4 linked regions of the Xenopus tropicalis genome follow. The protein of the gene in region 1 purifies or fractionates together with the protein of each later gene. This does not show direct contact. Links are inferred from orthologs where the notes say so. Each region holds a gene or a part of one and is shown in the gene's direction. Other genes may lie near its edges.

Region 1 (5,138 bases):
CTGGGTGTTCAACCTGTGATAACCACACCGGTAATTGCACTTTGCCCTTTTCTGTCTGAAAATCTCGATTTTACTCTATTTTTTTTTTTGTTTTTTTTTGTTTTCTTTGTGTTTTTTTTCTCTATTTTTGATAACACACGCCCAGTTGATGATGTCATACTGGTTTTGGCGCCACTGTTGGGTTTATTGGGGGATTTGTTTGTTGCACATTCACTTTGAGAAAGGCTGCTGTGTCAGCCGAAACGTTAGTCCTTGCTAATAAATATTTTTTGTTTTCATAAGACCTGTGAGTGCGGCATTTATACATACTATACAGATGCTTTGCTATCCTGCACCCAGGCATTATTTATGCTATCCTGCTACCCAGGGGCCCCCACACCCCCTCTGGCACCCCCACCGGCTACTCATCTAAGGCTAGCCCCTCCAGTGCCAGGGTCCGACTGCTACCCAGGGGTCCCCTCACCCCCTCTGGCACCCCCACCGGCTACTCATCTAAGGCTAGCCCCCCCCCCCAGTGCAACTTATACTTACTTTTTCCACGATCAGCAGGGGGAGGGCAGCGAGGGAGCAATAGGGGAGGGCAGCCAGGGATCGGGATAGTTTGGCGGAGCCTGGGGCTTTTCCAAGAAACAGACATAGGGGCACATTTACTAAAATGCGCTTTTTTCTGGCCTTGAAATGCAAAGTAAACACGATAATTTCTGTAGTTCTAAAATGTCTCGACAAAGCTTTTATCGTTTGTGCAAAAATATCGCAATTGCGTTCTGAAAGTTTGTAAACGCCACAAAAACAGTTTTTGAAGCCCCCATAGGACTCAATGGCACTTGACAAACCTGGCAACGTCCCAAAGTGTAACCATAGCGATAATGAATTCCAAAATGTTCATATTCTGTGCACAAAATACGACTTTTTCATGGAAATTTTACCGAAAACCATGAAAAACCATGAAACTGACTTTTTCCCATACATTCCAAAATGTTCTATAAAAATACGAATTTATCTCAAAATTGTTTAGTAAATGGGCCCCATAGTGTCAGTAGCACTGCTCAGTAAGGAAATCTTTTTTTTAAATACTTTATTTTGTATTTATTTTGAAGTAACAGGTGGGTTTGGAGAAGTTCAGCATTAATGTAAATCCGCCCATTAACACTTCTGCTACAGTTTCAAGTCAAAACCCAAGAATAAAAAGGGATAAGCAGATACTGCCTTAGCAATTGCATTTACAAATAACGTTAAAAGCACTGAAACTGTGCAAATAAATGTTGTTAATTAAAATGATATTTTTATTGATTATACAACCAAGAATAAAGATTTGGGCGGAGTCAGAGCTTACAGGCAGCCCGCGGGTCACGTGGTTGAGGGAGCAGCCCATTGGCTCAGCTGCTGGGGCGGTGGGGCCTAAAGCGCCGCTTTTATTGGTTGGAGGAATCACGTGGTACGTTTGTGTCACTAGTTGTCTCTCAAGGTGCGCGGCTCCGCTTTCTCCGCTGTCCGGTCTCGGTAGCTGCAGTCATGGTGCGGGCGGTGTGTGTGCTGGCGGGAAGCGGCGACGTGAAGGGGGTGGTGCACTTCCAGCAACAGGCGAGTATTGTAGCGTGGCTTTAGGCATTGTGCCTTATGCGCTTACCCTTACTGGGCCTGTCCTGTGCCTTCAGCTGCTAGTGTTCCTGCAGCCTGCGCCATCTGTGCAATTCCAACCAGCCTTTCCCCTTAGGCAGTATGAGATGCACAGTGCATGCTGGGAGGCGGTTGGGTTGGCAGTGCATGCTGGGAGGCGGTTGGGTTGGCAGTGCATGCTGGGAGGCGGTTGGGTTGGCAGTGCATGCTGGGAGGCGGTTGGGTTGGCAGTGCATGCTGGGAGGCGGTTGGGTTGGCAGTGCATGCTGGGAGGCGGTTGGGTTGGCAGTGCATGCTGGGAGGCGGTTGGGTTGGCAGTGCATGCTGGGAGGCGGTTGGGTTGGCAGTGCATGCTGGGAGGCGGTTGGGTTGGCAGTGCATGCTGGGAGGCGGTTGGGTTGGCAGTGCATGCTGGGAGGCGGTTGGGTTGGCAGTGCATGCTGGGAGGCGGTTGGGTTGGCAGTGCATGCTGGGAGGCGGTTGGGTTGGCAGTGCATGCTGGGAGGCGGTTGGGTTGGCAGTGCATGCTGGGAGGCGGTTGGGTTGGCAGTGCATGCTGGGAGGCGGTTGGGTTGGCAGTGCATGCTGGGAGGCGGTTGGGTTGGCAGTGCATGCTGGGAGGCGGTTGGGTTGGCAGTGCATGCTGGGAGGCGGTTGGGTTGGCAGTGCATGCTGGGAGGCGGTTGGGTTGGCAGTGCATGCTGGGAGGCGGTTGGGTTGGCAGTGCATGCTGGGAGGCGGTTGGGTTGGCAGTGCATGCTGGGAGGCGGTTGGGTTGGCAGTGCATGCTGGGAGGCGGTTGGGTTGGCAGTGCATGCTGGGAGGCGGTTGGGTTGGCAGTGCATGCTGGGAGGCGGTTGGGTTGGCAGTGCATGCTGGGAGGCGGTTGGGTTGGCAGTGCATGCTGGGAGGCGGAGGGACAGTCCCATAGGAGGGTATTTCTGCATTGCCAGTATAGGTGTGGGGGGGTCTTGTCTCTGTCCTAGACTTTTACTGGTGGGAACAAATCATTTCCACATAAGCTGTGGCCCCTGTGCCACTTCCACGGTCTCTCCTACACACAGCGCTTGTTATAGGGCCCCGGGGTGTGAGCGCCACTCGGTGAGGGATATGTAACTCCCCGCAGCCCACTGACCGCTATATCATGAATGACAGTTGATGGGAGTTGTATAATAACAGAGGGCTGTAAGTGGGATGCACACGTTAGTCTCCCCCCCCCCCCCCTCTCACTCTCTCTCTCCTCTCCCAGGCCTCTTGCCTTTAGCTCTGTACCTAGTGTCCCACCCCCACAGCACAGAATCCAGGGGGGAAAGTCCATGTTGCGCTGTAGGGAAATCCCACAGAATCATTTAGTTTGCTGCTTAGTGCCCTGCAAAAATACCTTCCAGAACAAGTAGGTGCTGGGAGTTGTAGTTTCATACAGCCTGTGGTGCCAGTTGTGCCCATGTCTGCTGTCCTTATACACATGCATTGTTACCAGTGCCCCATGCCCTGCCGGAGCCGTTCCTGCCATGTAGTAGATGAGGAATGGGTGCCCTGCATAACTCCAGGGAATTGAAACCAGTGCCCCAGGGCTTTGCCCAGTGCTGCTATTGGTTACAATGAACACAAAGAGCATGCAGGGAGTTATAGTTTAGTTATACAGGAGAGTCACAGGTTGATGTTGTGACCCGCTGTTCTGGTTGGTGTGTCACGTGCCGCCCTTTCACCCCAGACTGTGTGTTTGCAGTGAGGCCCAGGCTGCATGACGTGCCAGCGGGCCGGCTATCACTGGGCTAAGCTGCGGCTCTCAGCGAGGGGAAGTCGGGTCAGAGCGGCCATCTGTTGTGTGGGTGTGAGGGCCGGGGGCTCGCTGCTTTGTGGCCATGTGGCATGGGGATTATACATGTTGGCAAAGCCACTCTTGGTTATCTCCTTGTAATTAGCCTGCTGGGCAGGCAGGTTGAGGCTGTGCCAGTTAGTGCAATTGTGCCAGGGGGGCCCTGATGCAGCACAAGCCCTCACTGTTTATGCCCAGGGCACACACTCACCATTAGCCACATTGTGCAGTCATTCACTGTCTGTAGAGCAGTGTTGGGCCCAGGGACTCCGCTAGATGCGGTTGAACTACAACTCCCACTATCTGACTGCATCTGGGCTCTTTGCAATAGAAGCAGCCAGTGTGGCAGAATGCCAGGCAGATAGGGCACAATGCCAGGCAGTTAGGGCACTGCTGTGTAAGTGTGACTCAGCACTTTGGGACTGGAACGTCGAGCTTTGTTTTGCAATAACAGCCATTTGCTCCGGCGTTTCATTGGCTGCAGCAGTGCCAGCGGTGTCTGAGACGGGCAGTGTTGGACTGCAGCTCCCACAATCCCACAGATAAGTCAGCTTAAAAATGAACCCGAGGTCAGGAATCTTCTCTGTGGCTCTGATTGGTTTCCCATTCTGTAGGCGGGCCATATGCCATTAACCCCTCAGGTGCTGGCACTTTTTGATCCATCTGCTGCATGAGTGGCCAGTAACATGGGCTGTGTTTAAAAAGACAAGTTGAATCTGTGGCACTGGCACGATATGCGGATTTGCCCACATGTGCAGCGTTATTACATTCAGTCGTCTAGAGCTTTAATAGTCATGTGACTCAGGGTAGGGGTTCAGTTAGAGCCTGCGCCTCGCTGAATCCAAATGCTGTAGCCATATATATCCCATAGCTCCGCTATCCTACCCGCACATTCCAGCTTTAATATAACATAGATTTCTATACACTGTACTGTTATGGTCGGGGCAGGAATTCCTTATAATAAAATCCTCTCTATGCAGGACGAAGGCCCAGTGACAGTTGAAGGGAAGATTTACGGCCTGACTGACGGAAAGCACGGCTTCCATATCCATGAGTTTGGCGACAACACCAACGGTAAGCGTGGCTGTAACAGGGACTGTGGAGTGTAAGCTCCTTTGGCTAAGGGACTGATGGGAATGATGCATAATCTCTGGGAAGCTCTGTGTCAGTGCTCAATAAATACCAGAAATAGAAAGTTACGTGTGTTCCTGACTGCTCTCTGCTTGTTCCAGGCTGTATCAGCGCGGGCCCTCATTTCAACCCAGAGAGCAAGACTCACGGGGCCCCAGAAGATGCAGTCAGGTGATTCTCTCTATTGTCTTTGTATATCATATACTGTATGTACACCCTCCGGACTCCCTGCAGTTGCACATGTAGGAATTGCAGAGTTAGGCCGTCGTACGCACCAATGTATTGTTGTTTATTCAACAAACGCACCTAAGCCTGATCTTTCACTATCAAGAAAAACAAATCATTAATGGGCAGCCGTAACCAGCTAAGGATGCTGGGAGTTTATTATTGGCTGTAGGGACAGTGTTTTACCGCTGCCATTTATATAACTACTGCCCAGGGTTCAGCACCTCTAGGGTACATGTAGGTTTATGGCTGGGTGCTACTTAGTAAATGGTTCCCTTACCCTGAGGAGGAAGCGTTCCAGGGTGCTGGTGCATTGTAAGTATCTGGATAAACCAGTCCCTATTCG
Region 2 (5,341 bases), on another chromosome or scaffold:
CTTTGTGTGTGCCATACTCTGCCTTCCCTACCCTGCCTGTGTGTGCCATACTCTGCCTGCCCTACCCTGCCTGCGTGCCATACTTTCACTGTGTGTGCCATTCTTAGCTGGTTTGTGCCATACTTGGCCTGTGTGCCATACTCTGCCTGCCCTACCCTGCCTGTGTGTGCCATACTCTGCCTTCCCTACCCTACCTGTGTGTGCCATACTCTGCCTTCCCTACCCTGCCTGTGTGTGCCATACTCTGCCTTCCCTACCCTGCCTGTGTGTGCCATACTCTGCCTTCCCTACCCTGCCTGTGTGTGCCATACTCTGCCTTCCCTACCCTGCCTGTGTGTGCCATACTCTGCCTTCCCTACCCTGCATGTGTGTGCCATACTCTGCCTTCCCTACCCTGCCTGCGTGTGCCATATTTTCACTGTGTGTGCCAGTCTTGGCTGGTTTGTTCCAAACTTGGCCTGTGTGTGCCATACTCTGCCTGCCCTACTCTGCCTGTGTGTGCCATACTCTGCCTTCCCTACCCTGCCTGTGTGTGCCATACTCTGCCTTCCCTACTCTGCCTGTGTGTGCCATACTCTGCCTTCCCTATCCTGCCTGCGTGTGCCATACTTTCACTGTGTGTGCCATTCTTGGCTGGTTTGTGCCAAACTTGGCCTGTGTGTGCCATACTCTGCCTGCCCTACTCTTCCTGTGTGTGCCATACTCTGCCTTCCCTACCCTGCCTGTGTGTGCCATACTCTGCCTGCCCTACTCTTCCTGTGTGTGCCATACTCTGCCTTCCCTACCCTGCCTGTGTGTGCCATACTCTGCCTGCCCTACTCTTCCTGTGTGTGCCATACTCTGCCTTCCCTACCCTGCCTGTGTGCCATACTCTGCTTGCCCTATGCTGCCTGTGTGTATGGCACACACAGGCAGCATACAGTGACACAATGCTGGCAGTGCTCCTACAGTCTGCACAATAACTATATATTAAAAAACTTTTTAATTGCAGTACCACCTCAGTATATGTTCTTTTTGTAGTGTGCAGGGATTATTTGTGGGTTTCTACTCCTCCTGAGGTGTGAACAGGGGAACAATATGGGTGATTACAGCCTGAGCCTGAGGTGTGAACACTACAGGGGGTGAACAATGCAGAGATTAAAAGGTGTGAACAACACAGGGGATTACATATTTAAACAATACAGAGGGATTACAGCCTGAATCAGAGGTGAGAACCATGCAGGGGGGGCAGTTAATCTCAGTACTGATACCATTTAAAGCTTACACAAGAGTAAGCCATCAAAGCAGCCAGACAGGTGGGGGGCCGCACAGAGGGGGGTTGCGGGCCGCCAGTTGGACAGCACTGGTCTATGGGGTGGGGGGGATCATTTAGCCTCGGATTTTCTGGGGGGGGGGGGGGTATCACTGTGCCTTGGATTTTCTTTTGGCCTATGGGGTGGGGGGATCACTGTGCCTGTGATTGGCTGGGGGGGTATCACTGTGCTTCTCATTTTCTGTGGGTGTGTATTACTGTGCCTCTGTTTTTCTGTGGGTTATGGGGGGATATCAGTGTGCCTCTCGCTTCTCCTTCTTTTTCAGCACTGAGAACAAGGATCTACATGAAGCGGGTATTTCTGTGCCGATTAGTAGGATTATCTAGTAAAGTGCTGCTGGCTGCTGACACATTTGAAACACACGGAGGCAGAACGAGCAGCCAGAGAGCCGCAAGAGAAAGTCGGGCGGCAACAACAAAGCTCCCTATGCACAAACCTGCCATACTGCCTGGCGGAATGCAATTTGGGGGAAGAACAGAACAGGCGGGACGGCATTACACCCCAATTGCAGCACTACTAACATTAAAGAAATAGTGAATAGAAAAAGTGCTACGTTCTGCCGCGAAACAAACCCCCCGCGCATGCGTCGTCAAACCTTAAAGGTTAAGGGCTTTGTCCGTGCGCGCATGCGCGCTAGGAATTTTTAAAAAGTCCTTGCCTGCCCTATAGGGGCGGAATTGCCGTGTCCCATCGGCTCAGCCCACTTTGGTTGTCATGGCTCTTCGGCTCCCCGTCTCATTCCTCCTCCTGTCACCTCTGCGAGCGGTTGGAAGTTTCGTGAGCAGAACAAGAGCCATGTCTGTAAAGGTGCGTATGTAGCGAGTAGCGGCTTGTAGTGGGCAGGTATGTGCGCTGGCACAGTGTAACCGGCAGCAATGTCCTGTGTGCGGCAGAGATTTCTCTGTGTGGGTATTGGCTGGATTCCACATCTCATACTACTGGGCAGCCTGTCAAATACGAGTTAGATTATATAAACGTGTGTGCCCTCCTTCCCTGGCATGCTGTGGCTCCTGCTTTCACTCCTTACTGTTCTTGGGTATGTTATCTGCTTGCCCAGGTACAACTAATAGATAGTAAGCTCTGCAGTGCACTTGTTGTATAAAATAATGAAGGACTGGAGTTTAAGATATATATATATATATATATATATACACACACATACATACAACATGCTGAAAAGCCAAACTGCTGTCACCAGAATTCCCAGTGGGTTTCCACGTCTTTGTATATTGCAACAGGGGAATTACTCCTGGCAATGATTATTTTAGTCTGGTTACAGTATCGCAGCTCTGGGCTAAGATTCTAAATACTGCAGGCTCTGCCTTATCAAGTACACAGAGGCCCAGTAGCAAGTGAGTGTCTATGGCATTTTAAGCAGAGCCTACAGATTGCCAGTCCGGGCCTGCAATAAGATAATCCAAATTCCAAGCAAAATTAAGGGGAAACTCCACCCAAATGTTTATTCATTTTTTGCATAGTGAAAGGAAATGTGATTCCAAGCTGGGGGTCCCTGACCTTTTTCACCTGAGTTGGGGTGCAACACAAGCATGAAAAATTTACCTGGGGGTACCAAATAAGCACTATGATTGGCTATTCGGTAGCCACTATGTGGACTGGCAGAAAGCTTTGTTTTTATGCAACCAGAACTTGCCTCTAAAGGTGGCCATACACGTGGCGATCTGACGATGTTTCGTACGACCATCGGTCGCACGAAACATCGTAAGATCCGCCACACACCATTCAGGGCTGAATCGGCAGGTAAGGAGGTAGAAAAAATAGGATTTCTACCTCCTTATGCCGATTCAGATCTGAAGGGAGAATTTTGGTCAGGCGCCTTCTATGGCGCCCGATCAAAATTTTCCAACTGGTCCGATCAGCAGGTTCCTGCGATATCGGTCGACTCGCCGACATACCATACACGCACCGATTATCGTACGAAACGAGGTTTCGTACGATAATATCGGTGCGTGTATGGCCACCTTAAGCCAGAAATTCAAATATAAGCAGCTGCTATGAGGCCACTGGGAGCAACATCTAAGGGTTGGGGAGCAACATGTTTCTCCTGAGCCACGGGTTGGGGACCACGGTTATAAGCAATGTTCCAATATACATATAACAATGAATGCTTCAAAGTTATTGGTACCTTCTAAAGCAACAGAGCAGAGGCTGGATAATATACCCAGAGAACTGATTTCAAATATATTGTTTGCAGAGAATCAAAACAGAAAGGGATAAAAAAAAACTTTTAGTTTTTTCAGTAGCAGTGACATTTACACATAACTCTTAAACAACTGAAAATGTGTAATGACTGTGTATTGGAAAGTTGCCTAGAATGTTCTTTTATTGTTGGGTATGCGCTGAGGATTCACCCTTCCCCCAAAATCTGCTTTAGGTGGTTAATAAGTGAAACACCCTACTAATACACCCATGTCAGTTTGTGGGACTCTACCACACCAGATTTGTCCAAATACCGAACCAAAGCCAAACACTAATTTGCATATGTAATTAACAACATTTGGAAAAAAACACAGCATTCAAAAAATAATCATCAACCTTCATCTGTCACATTGTCTAAAGTCATGTGATGTTTAGGGTTTGGATTCAGTTCGGCCAGGAATAAGGAGTCTTCTAAATCTGAAAATGATCAGATCTGGTATTCAATACTTTCCTAATTTTTGTATTGCTTCATCAGTACATCAGCCCACCTTACACACAACACTCTGACCCTGCTGCAAATCCATTATTCTTATATCCACTATTCTTATGCTCACAGGCTTCCCTCTTTGCTCTCCCTGCATGGTGCCAGGTAACAGCACCCACCTGTCAGACTTCCCTGAACACCTGTTTGCTGCCGAGACATAGGCTAGTGTGATGTTGGTCTATATTCAATATATACTTTATTTGCAGGGGACATATATGTGCCCAAGGCTAGGAACATATAGTTGTTTCTTATAATTTTCAGATTAATATGTGTAGTATTATGATATTAGCATGAAATATCCATTACTCTGAATACATTCATTATTTAGGAGCAGTGATCCATCCTGTTAAAGCTGCTTGCCATTTGTATAAGTGTATTGTCACAGAAGGACTACTGTAATTGCATATACACTGAAAGAAAAATAAGCCGTGGCAACCTGATACTGCTAATTGTTACCCAAAGCTGGTAACTGTAATCTTATACATGTCGCAATGAGGAAGAGACACCTTAATAAATTCCAGTGTCGTGTAAAGGAAATTACTTACACAATGGATTTCGGTTGTGGGCAAATCCCTGAGACAACTTTGTACACTTCCTTGTTATAGACAATTAATATTTCATTGGGGTTTTTTTTTTATTCAATACTTGCAGGTTGGAGATCAACTTCCTAATGTGACGGTGTATGAGGGGGGGCCTGGGAACAAGGTCAGCATCAGAGATGTGTTTGCTAACAAGAAGGGGGTGCTGTTTGGTGTCCCGGGGGCGTTCACTCCTGGCTGCTCCAAGGTAAAGGAAGAGAAGCATGATCAGGGAAATGGCACTTATATTGTAGTGTCACCCACTGTGACCTACAGCACTTATATTTGCCTACTTGTGTCTGTAAGTTACCCTCCCATATAGATTGTAAGCTCTACGGGGCAGGGACCTCCATCCTCTTGTGTCTTTGACTCTTAACTTATTGCAACTGTATCTTGTATTTATTTGTATTTATTGTTATACTTTGTATTTATCTATTATCTTATTAACCCATTGTTTGTATTAATGTATTCTACTGTACAGCGCTGCGTACATAAGTAGCGCTTTATAAATAAAAATATACATACATACATACACGTGGATAAATATGCATGTCAACATCACAAACTAAGTCTCATTCATTGTCTTTCTGCATATATAGACTCATCTGCCGGGGTACGTGGCTCAAGCAGCCGAGCTGAAATCCCGCGGTGCAGCAGTTATTGCCTGCATCTCAGTCAATGACATCTTTGTGATGAGCGAGTGGGCAAAGGCATATGATGCAGAAGGGAAGGTAAGTGGCCGGCTGATA
Region 3 (5,195 bases), on another chromosome or scaffold:
ATACAACTGCATTCTGACCACTATTTCTCTCTCCCAGTTGGTAAATAGGATACTTGATGCCAATGTTATTAAGAGAAAAGAAAGATAACAAAAATAGGAGAGCCTTTCTTTTTTTTCAAAAAAAAAAAAAAAAAAAAGTAGAAACCATGCTTTTATTTGGGTCCTGTCACACCTGAAGCTGCTTTCAGTAAGAAATTGTGTCCCATGGTCAGCTAAGGTACAAAATAGGCCACAGGCCCAATACGAAATGCCAGGCTACGATATTCACAGAGGGGTTGGCGGTAGCTAGGATTGCCACCAGCTTGGTATTATACCACCCTGGCTGCTAAAAACAATGCTTGACTGTAAAACCCATAAAAATACAGATGAAAAGGCAGGTATATTATTATTAAATATGGCAACCCTAGGGGGACCATTCAAGCGTTCGAATCCCGAATGAGAAAAATTCGGATTGGATACTATAATTTCTGAAGATCGCAAATATCACGAAAATGCTTACGAAAAAATTGTATTAGTCATGATAATATTGTATTGGTGATCCGAAAGTCACTAAATTTTCATACCGAACGATTGTAAACAGCGGGAAAACCTTTCTGATTTTTTCGCGCAAGCGTACGAAAAACTCGGCGAAAATACGCTCCGAGCGTTCATGTCCTAATAAATCTGCCCCTAGTTGTTTGCGTGTAGGTTTAGTAGGTCTTGCTTTCCTGGTAAGATAAAAAATGAAATGCTTCAAAACACCATCAATGTCAATGGGAATCACCGGTGGCCACCTGGCTTCTACATTTATAAACACACCTATCACTTTATTTTACGGTCGCCACATGGGTCACATCTGCACGTTTTGTCCCCTATTTTGTAGCTCTATAGATGGGCGTCAAAGCAGTTAAGCATTGTCCTTGTTTACCTCTTATTAAGCTCAAGCAATTATAACTAAGAGACGCTTTGGAGCAGTAATCACCTCAGCACTGAGCAGGCAAATGCCTCTCGAATTAATGGAAAGCAATTTATAATGCTGTATCGCCATTGTATGTATAACTTTATTTATAAAGTGCCACAAGGGTACGCAGCGCTGTACAGTCTTACAGAATACAAAATTACACACAGGGAGGACAAGTGATATAATAAATAAATACAATAAATATATATATCTATATCTATATATATATAAGTGCCATGTGGTATGAGACACAGTAGGAAGGAGGTCCCTGCCCCGTAGAGCTTACAATCTGAGTGGTTGGGTAACATACAGGCACAAACTGGAAGGTAAGAGTGCACCAGGTATGGGCATTTGCCCTTAAGAGCAGGACTGGGCAAAATAATGTTTCAGTGCTCCAGAAGGTAACAGCTGAGTTACAAAACGCTCAGGCGACAAAAACACTCAAAATCCCTATTACACCGGGTTTGGTTCGCTGCAGTCCACTCTCACTTTACTGCAACGCTGCAAATTTTTTTAGTGCACCTACAGAAAGAAGTATGTTGAAGGGCTTGCCAGAACTAGCTATTACACTTACTATTAGCCATTCATCAGCTATACGTTATGAAGAACGCTTTCCAGCAATGTCGTATAAAGCCACAAATGCATGCCGGATTACCCTATCCGCTGAATAGTGTTAACCCTGAGTTATAGCCCAAAGCGAAGGCAGCCACTCCCCGCGTCACAGCCGGACCGGCCCTCACCGCACCTCTACAGGCCGCGCCCAGGACTCCCGCGCTTCTGTGCCACACCTTATGAGCTCTCCTGCAGCCTACTATTGGCCCGCCGCGCTGTCAATCAGTACCATGGAACCATTCTATTGGTGTGTTTCCCTTAAACGATGCCAGGCGGGGCCAAGCTTCTCATATAATATCAGCCCCGCTTCCGTTTTTAAGCTCTTTTCCGTGGTTCTCTTGGGCTGTTTAGAGTTCAGGGGGTTAGGAAGCTGCACGTTGCGCTCACGGCAAGGCACTGTTTATTTTCATTCTGCACTATGGCTTTACCCAGGGTCTTTTTCGACATCGCCGTTGATGGCTGCCCGATGGGCCGTATTATCATGGAGGTAATGAGAGTAGACTCTTTACTGTCGGGGGAGGGGGGTGGCATTAAGTCTTGGCGCCATTTGTGAGAATGTCAGAAACTGCTGGTTTGATAGAGTCCGGTTGCACTTTCTTTGCGTGTGCCATGTTCCTGTGTGTGTGAGTGCGGCTCCCATGGGTGCTTGGGGCTAGCTGGAGCGATGGGGTGAGCCGGTCACATGACTGTAACACGATGGAATGGGCCGGGGGGGGTTCCATTGTTTGCTGCATGGTGCGGGGGCGTCACTGCGCTGCGGGTCTGGCCGTCTCCCCCAGCCCCGGGTGAATCTGCTGGCTGTATTGCAGCGTTATTCTTACCGCATACATGTTTCCTCGGTGTCACGTGATACACTAGGCTCTTGGTTGGGGGGGTAACTTGACGCCTTCTAGTCGTTAATATAAAGAAAATGACAATGTAACTGTATCACTAATGTATCATGTCCTGCTGTGCAGCGAGTTCATTCGCTGTTTGATAGTTATGGCTGTGATACATCCGCTGGGCAGCGTATTGGGCAAAATGGTCGGACTACAGCTCCCAGCATTCCTAGCGGAGGCAAGTACAGGGAGGGTAGTTCTGCCACATGTTGGTGCAAGAGCTGGGGGCTGCTGAGGGTGGCTATATATCATTTACTGTAAATATGGTACAAGTGAATGTCTGTTGCTAGGTCTTACTATACTAGGCCCTTTATTCGCTGGCTGGGAGAGCCCGCCTCCCGTGTGTCACTTCTATGGAGGGGGAGGAGGAATCCATTTTAGAAGAAATCAAGTAATGTGAAGATTTCTTGTTCTCAAAATGTCTGCTTGGTTGCTGAGCTGCTCAGCCCTGTGTTAGTGCGGGGTAGGTGTGCCCTGTGGGATGCCCCACTTGCTGGGGTGTGGGCATGGCGGGTATATTTAGTGTAGAATTCAAAGGGCTTTAATCACGCCGTGCCCTAGCGAGGAGACACCGCTCTGTGGGAAATACACCTGCTGCCTGGCCTAAAGGCTTTATGCACAAAGCCTGTCAGTGAGGGCTTATTGTTCCCTCAGGCTAATGCAGGGAGTGCTTTAGGGGCCCCAGCAGTGCATGTTGGGTGCATGGGTAATGCCATTGTGTATTGGTGCCAGGGGAAAGCTGATGTAGTCGCTCTGCATGGTTTGTGTCTAAAGGGATTGGAGCTGAGGGGCAAGTACGTGAGGTGCTGTCAGGGTTACTGTCCCCTTGGTGGCATGCAGGCCCCTCTCCCTTTCTTACTGCAGTGCCTGAGCCAGCAAATCCACATGGTGTGTATGTTATATGGTAGATATAGTGCATACTGATGGCTATATAGGGGATGGTAAATGCTTTATATTACTATGTACAGAACTGTGGCTGCATGGGTTTCTCTGTCCCAGGGTGTCCAATCTGCATGCACTTACTGCGCTTCATACAGGGGTTAAATCTGCTATTTATAGACTTATAGCGACGTAACTGAAGCCATATAAGGCATTTTCAGTTCTGCAGTCATGTTAATCCTTCCCCTGCATGAGCCTTTTTTTGCTTCACGTGGTGGTGGTCTGCCATAATCAAGCATAGGCATTGCCTTCCTGCCATCTTTGTGCCATGGTTCCCCCTCTAACACTGGTATGCAGGGCTAGCAACACTGCACCAAATGCGTTGGTCTCCTGCCTAAGCAAGGGCACGACTCCTGCTGATGTAATAAGGTTCACTTTAACTTTATTACATCTTGCACAATGAACTGCCTGGCATGCCTGTCCCCTCTCATGGTTAAATATTAATGCTCTTGCATATGCCATGCTGCATTATTAAGGGCATAAAAGCTACAGTGGGGTATCGGACAACAGAAGGTAGTTATGTGCCCTGGGTAATGCCGCCCCCCCAATCCCCCAGAAATGGCCATGTGCTGGTCAGTAATACGGATGGGTGCTGTGAGTGACCATACAAGAAGGGGCTCGGTCAGTACTGTGCATGTATGGCCAGGTTAAGGTTTGTATGCTGACGAGCAGTGCAATATAGTTACAAACCATCCGTCTAGTGGTGTCAGGCTTGGACTCTTGGCAGCAGTTTATTGTTTGTCTTCATAAAGTCTCAAGGCATCTGCAAGGGATCAACACTTCATAAATAGCCAGGAAGTGGGAGATGTGTTCTGTGCTGCAACCAGGCATCTTTGTATTCGGCACTTCCCTGTGGTGTCTACTCCCCAGTCAGGTCATGCCAGGGCCAGCCTTCTAATCTGCGTGTCCTTAATCCAGGGCTCCCCAGTCTTTTATACCTGTGAGACGGTTAAAATGTGAAAGTTGGGGAGCAACACAAGCATTAAAAATGTACCTGGGGTACCAAATTATGGCTGTGATTGGCTATTTGGCAGCCTACAGGCTGGTCTGTTTGCAACCAAAATTTGCCTCCAAGCCAGGAATTCAAATATAAGCACCTGTTTGAGGCCACTGGGAGCAAAAGCCAAAGGGTTGGTGGGTAACATGTTGCTCCCGAGCCACTGGTTGGGGGTCCCTGCCTTAACCTGAGTAGCAATCAGTCTGCCTTGTCCATCTGAGTCTGTGGATATTACCTTTACTAGTCAAATGGCATGTTTCTTTATCAAGCAGCCACATTTATGTTCTATAGCCTAAATGGCCTATGGAATGCAAGCCTATGTTAAATGGAATTAGTCAAATTATCATGGAATTTCAAGTATTGCTATAAAGGGAAAACGGTCTACAGTAGAAAAGACTAAGGTTAGCATGCAGTCTATTGTACAGTATCAAACAAGTCTGCGTTGGGCACTGGGCTACAGCCTGGCATGTGATGGGTGCCTACAGCTGTCATTCTGCCTCTGGTATTCAGTCTTAAACCATTCAGCCCCATGGCATCCCCACAACTATTCCCAGGGTGGAGTTCCTGCCCCTCTGACTGCACCCTGCTAGTACTACTAAGCTGTTCATAGTTTAGGAATAAAGTGCTACGTAAACCAGTAGAGGTTACCAGGGGACAATACGTTGTATAATAAGATACACATGTGCATGTCCGTAATGTGTTAAGCCTCTCCATTTTGCCTATTGTCATGGCCTCAAAGATAAACATACTTTTCCCTTTATACCAGAAGCGCTAAACTATTTGTCTGACAACTGTATTCATTCTGAAACTAAAGCTGTCACATTGTAAC
Region 4 (5,081 bases), on another chromosome or scaffold:
CACACACAGGCAGGGTAGGGCAGGAAGATTATGGCACACACAGGCAGGGTAGGGGGTAGGGCAGGCAGAGTATGGCACACACACACAGGCAGGGTAGGGCAGGAAGATTATGGCACACACAGGCAGGGTAGGGGGTAGGGCAGGCAGAGTATGGCACACACAGGCAGGGTAGGGGGTAGGGCAGGCAGAGTATGGCACACACAGGCAGGGTAGGGCAGGAAGATTATGGCACACACAGGCAGGGTAGGGCAGGCAGAGTATGGCACACACAGGCAGGGTAGGGCAGGAAGATTATGGCACACACAGGCAGGGTAGGGCAGGCTGAGTATGGCACACACAGGCAGCATATTTCCAAATGATAAAAATCCCAGAACAATCCCCTGCAAGATTCATCTTCCACAGGCAACATAGGGCAGGGAGGGTATGGCACACACAGACAAGTACGACTTTTTCGTACTTTGCAACAAAATCACATTTGTCGCGCCTAGTAACCAGCAGGTTACTTGGGCCAGGTTGGAGCTGCAGAGTGCCATTGAGCCCTATGGGAGGCTTTCCTTGGGCCAGGTTGGAGCTGCAGAGTGCCATTGAGCCCTATGGGAGACTTTCCTTGGGCCGGGTTGGAGCTGCAGAGTGCCATTGAGCCCTATGGGAGACTTTCCTTGGGCCGGGTTGGAGCTGGAGAGTGCCATTGAGCCCTATGGGAGACTTTCCTTGGGCCGGGTTGGAGCTGCAGGGTGCCATTGAGCCCTATGGGAGACTTTCCTTGGGCCGGGTTGGAGCTGCAGGGTGCCATTGAGCCCTATGGGAGACTTTCCTTGGGCCGGGTTGGAGCTGCAGAGTGCCATTGAGCCCTATGGGAGGCTTTCCTTGGGCCAGGTTGGAGAGCCCAATCGTGCTTTTAATTGGCGAAAATTTGTGCTTTAATGAATGGGCCCCTTAGTACGTTATAGAATGGCCAAATCTAAGCAACTTCTCAATTGGTCTTCATTATGGATTTGTTATTGTTCTTTTTTTATTATTTACCTTCTTTCAACGTTTTGTAGTTTATAAATGGTCACTGACTCACTTGAGTCACTGACCCCGGCAGCCAAAAGACTATTGCTCTGTGAAGCTCCAGTTTTATTGAATTTCTTACTTTTTGTAACCGCATTTACTATTTAGGCCCTCTCCTATTCACATCAGTCTCTCACCCAAACAGCTCCCTGGTTGCTAAGGTAACTTGGACCCTAGCAACCAGATAGCTGCTGAAAAAAACTGAGAGCTCCTGAACTGAACTGAAAAAAATGCTGAAGAAACTCAAAGTAATAAGACGATCTGTGAGTTTAGCATCTAGAATGAAACCATTGTTATATATATATATATTTATAGTTCCATCCAGGATCTTAGAAAAGGACAAGCAGAAGAGCCACACTGCCTTCTCTATGATCTATGGCACAATTTGAGCGTATCACTTTATTATTTTTCAGTCATAAATCAGATGGTTAGCACATGTAAAAGTCTTCCACAAACTGGGGAGTCTTCTTAAATGAACCCAAACTCCACAAAACAATAAAAAAGTTGAAACAGGTATTTGCAAGCCCCCTGGATAGGATGACTGTCCTGCCATCAATCAAAATGGCGCCTCCCTTACACTGCACTAGGCGCGCAGGTGCTCACTATGGCAACGGGGGGGCGGGTCTGACGGAACGGTACGCTGACAGGAGTGGGCGTGTCCCTTGGGCGTATTTAAAGGGGCAGCAAGACCGCGGCGCTTGTCACTTCTGCCAGATTCGAACGGTATCGCCTAGGTGCAACACATACACTGTCAGACATGTCTTCCAGGAAATTTTTCGTCGGGGGAAATTGGAAGATGAATGGGGACAAGAAGAGCCTGACGGAGCTGATCAACACTCTAAACAGCGGCAAGATCAGTGCGGACACAGGTGGGGCGCTATAGGCGTCGGTGTGTTTGGGGTGCAGTGTGTGTGGGTAGGGGATGTTACCCATGTGCGATCCCGGGGAGTAAAACGTAACCTGCCTACAACTCCCAGCATCCCCCGGTAACCAGAAGGGTAACAGTGTAACTGTATGCACCTTATATTGGGTCGGGTTGCCCTTTACTGTTAGTGCCGGAGTCCTGCTGGTTAGTCTGGGCAGGTGTAGGTGCAAACTGCATACGTTTCTATATCCTGTCCCACCTCCCTGTAACTGTGGCCCCTGGGCAGGTGTAATCAGTGGCCCATTTCTGCTCTAAGTCCTAAGTCTGTCTCTATGGGGGCTACTCTGGCCTAACTATATATCTATTAGGGGCTGTATCCAGGCTTTATGGGGGTGCTCTGGCCTAACAATATATATTAGGGGCTGTATCCAGGCTTTATGGGGGTGCTCTGGCCTAACTATATATATTAGGGGCTGTATCCAGGCTTTATGGGGGTGCTCTGGCCTAACTATATATATATTAGGGGCTGTATCCAGGCTTTATGGAGGTGCTCTGGCCTAACTATATATCTATTAGGGGCTGTATCCAGGCTTTATGGGGGTGCTCTGGCCTAACTATATATCTATTAGGGGCTGTATCCAGGCTTTATGGGGGTGCTCTGGCCTAACAATATATATTAGGGGCTGTATCCAGGCTTTATGGGGGGCTGCTTTGGCCTAACTATATATATTAGGGGCTGTATCCAGGCTTTATGGGGGTGCTCTGGCCTAACAATATATATTAGGGGCTGTATCCAGGCTTTATGGGGGTGCTCTGGCCTAACAATATATATTAGGGGCTGTATCCAGGCTTTATGGGGGTGCTCTGGCCTAACTATATATATTAGGGGCTGTATCCAGGCTTTATGGGGGTGCTCTGGCCTAACAATATATATTAGGGGCTGTATCCAGGCTTTATGGAGGTGCTCTGGCCTAACTATATATATTAGGGGCTGTATCCAGGCTTTATGGGGGTGCTCTGGCCTAACAATATATATTAGGGGCTGTATCCAGGCTTTATGGGGGTGCTCTGGCCTAACTATATATATTAGGGGCTGTATCCAGGCTTTATGGGGGTGCTCTGGCCTAACAATATATATTAGGGGCTGTATCCAGGCTTTATGGGGGTGCTCTGGCCTAACTATATATATTAGGGGCTGTATCCAGGCTTTATGGGGGTGCTCTGGCCTAACTATATATATTAGGGGCTGTATCCAGGCTTTATGGGGGTGCTCTGGCCTAACAATATATATTAGGGGCTGTATCCAGGCTTTATGGGGGTGCTCTGGCCTAACTATATATATATTAGGGGCTGTATCCAGGCTTTATGGGGGTGCTCTGGCCTAACAATATATATTAGGGGCTGTATCCAGGCTTTATGGAGGTGCTCTGGCCTAACTATATATATTAGGGGCTGTATCCAGGCTTTATGGGGGTGCTCTGGCCTAACTATATATATATTAGGGGCTGTATCCAGGCTTTATGGGGGTGCTCTGGCCTAACTATATATATATTAGGGGTTGTATCCAGGCTTTATGGGGGTGCTCTGGCCTAACAATATATATTAGGGGCTGTATCCAGGCTTTATGGGGGTGCTCTGGCCTAACAATATATATTAGGGGTTGTATCCAGGCTTTAGGGGGGGCTGCTTTGGCCTAAGCATATCTATTAGGGGCTGTTATTGGGTTTGTGCTGTAAGGAAGGGGTTAAAATGGGGCAAGGGGTTTAAGGGTATGTGCAGCTGAGATAATGCACTTCTTTGCTAGCCCCATTTGAACTACCCCCTCTGGCAGCCTTCCCAGGTAGGTGGCCACACCCCTGCCAGTCCCCCAGCCTGAGGGCCAGTTAGTTGGATACAGTGGCCATACATGTGCAGGGGTGCTGCCATCTTGTATCTGCTGCTGCACCAATCACTGTGCCCCCACCCACATGGTGCAATGGCAGTCAGGCTGCAATACAATGGGATGCTCTGCCCACTCCGGCCCCCCCCCAGTCTGGTATAGGCGCCAGTGTGCTTGGTGTCTGCCTGACCGAATCTGGCCATGTGTTGCCTCCTAAGTGCTTAGTGTAGTTATTTGGCTGGGTTTATATAGCGTGGCCCTCTGCTGGGTAATATCCTGCACCCTGAGCGGCCAAAGTGTCCTTGCCCAACGTGTCACTTGCACAATTCTGTATATGAAATATATTCCCTGCCCTTCTGTTACGTGTGTCTGATATATACATAGAATTATTTCTAACCCATAATTGGCCCCTTTCAGTTCCTGATTGGCAGAGCTCGTTATGGAGCCTGGGGATGCTCTAAATCAAACCACAATCTCTCCGCATCCGCTGCTGTGACCTCTATGTCCTTCATATATAATAGCGTTCAGCCTGCCTGTAATGTGTGCAGTATCCCTGGCATCCCAGCATGCCTTGCACACAGGGCAGGAGTGGGTATGTGTTCATAACAGGATGTATCGAGTACAAGGAAAATAAAAAGGCCAATATATAAAGCTGGATGCTGTAAAATCCTTTGCTACATGGCAGCTCCGCAGGGGGGGGCAAGTGGCTTTAAAGCAACGGCTGCATCGCCTGAACCCAAGGGCAGGGAATTCAGGATTCAGGCCAGACCCCATTCATTCATTGGCACCTACACGCCTGACCCCACTTGATCCGTAAGACCCAGAATGCATTGCACCCAGCCGGAGTGTGCAGAGAGAAGGCCCAGAATGCATTGCTCATACAGCATGATGAAAGGCACACGACCCAGAATGCATTGCACGGGGGAGCGTTTAATTCAGTGGTTAATGTGTAGTTTTGGGGAAGAGGGGGCGGAGTCAGGTTTGGCATTAACAAAGGCAGGGGAAAGCTCTGAAATAAGAGGGGTTTCTGGGAGTTGTAGTAATGCAGAATCTTAGATACCCATGGGGCTTGCACAGTGTTGGGGCTGATAGCCCCCCCCCCCCCCCCGGGCACACGCATCCCTGGCTAGCGACCTGCCCCTGTCTCTCGGCAGCCGGGAGTCTGTGCTGTGAGTCACGTACAAACTGCAGTGTCAGCCTTAAAGAGACAGCGCCGGATGCCTCCTTACTGTATGTCTGCACTGTCCCTGGGGATAAGGTCACCCAGAATGAGCCAGAGACTGA

Evidence for each region. The genes of interacting proteins can lie anywhere in the genome.
Region 2: the proteins of sod1 (region 1) and prdx5 fractionate together in Homo sapiens (co-fractionation; 3 studies listed by BioGRID and IntAct, with this or other methods). This does not show direct contact. The link is inferred for Xenopus tropicalis from reciprocal best matches to the Homo sapiens genes SOD1 and PRDX5.
Region 3: the proteins of sod1 (region 1) and ppia fractionate together in Homo sapiens (co-fractionation; 3 studies listed by BioGRID, with this or other methods). This does not show direct contact. The link is inferred for Xenopus tropicalis from reciprocal best matches to the Homo sapiens genes SOD1 and PPIA.
Region 4: the proteins of sod1 (region 1) and tpi1 purify together in Homo sapiens (affinity purification with mass spectrometry; 3 studies listed by BioGRID, with this or other methods). This does not show direct contact. The link is inferred for Xenopus tropicalis from reciprocal best matches to the Homo sapiens genes SOD1 and TPI1.

Annotation. Positions count from the first base shown.
Region 1 is NC_030678.2:15,647,698-15,652,835, reverse strand, and holds the start of sod1 (superoxide dismutase [Cu-Zn]), read left to right. Parts: upstream 1-1,496; 5' UTR 1,497-1,512; coding exon 1,513-1,581; intron 1,582-4,416; coding exon 4,417-4,510; intron 4,511-4,668; coding exon 4,669-4,738; intron 4,739-5,138. UniProt on the Homo sapiens protein: Destroys radicals which are normally produced within the cells and which are toxic to biological systems.
Region 2 is NC_030680.2:34,742,459-34,747,799, reverse strand, and holds the start of prdx5 (peroxiredoxin-5, mitochondrial), read left to right. Parts: upstream 1-2,033; 5' UTR 2,034-2,108; coding exon 2,109-2,120; intron 2,121-4,665; coding exon 4,666-4,800; intron 4,801-5,191; coding exon 5,192-5,323; intron 5,324-5,341. UniProt on the Homo sapiens protein: Thiol-specific peroxidase that catalyzes the reduction of hydrogen peroxide and organic hydroperoxides to water and alcohols, respectively.
Region 3 is NC_030679.2:126,270,348-126,275,542, reverse strand, and holds the start of ppia (peptidylprolyl isomerase A (cyclophilin A)), read left to right. Parts: upstream 1-1,887; 5' UTR 1,888-1,970; coding exon 1,971-2,039; intron 2,040-5,195. UniProt on the Homo sapiens protein: Catalyzes the cis-trans isomerization of proline imidic peptide bonds in oligopeptides.
Region 4 is NC_030683.2:9,528,255-9,533,335, reverse strand, and holds the start of tpi1 (triosephosphate isomerase), read left to right. Parts: upstream 1-1,773; 5' UTR 1,774-1,810; coding exon 1,811-1,922; intron 1,923-5,081. UniProt on the Homo sapiens protein: Triosephosphate isomerase is an extremely efficient metabolic enzyme that catalyzes the interconversion between dihydroxyacetone phosphate (DHAP) and D-glyceraldehyde-3-phosphate (G3P) in glycolysis and gluconeogenesis.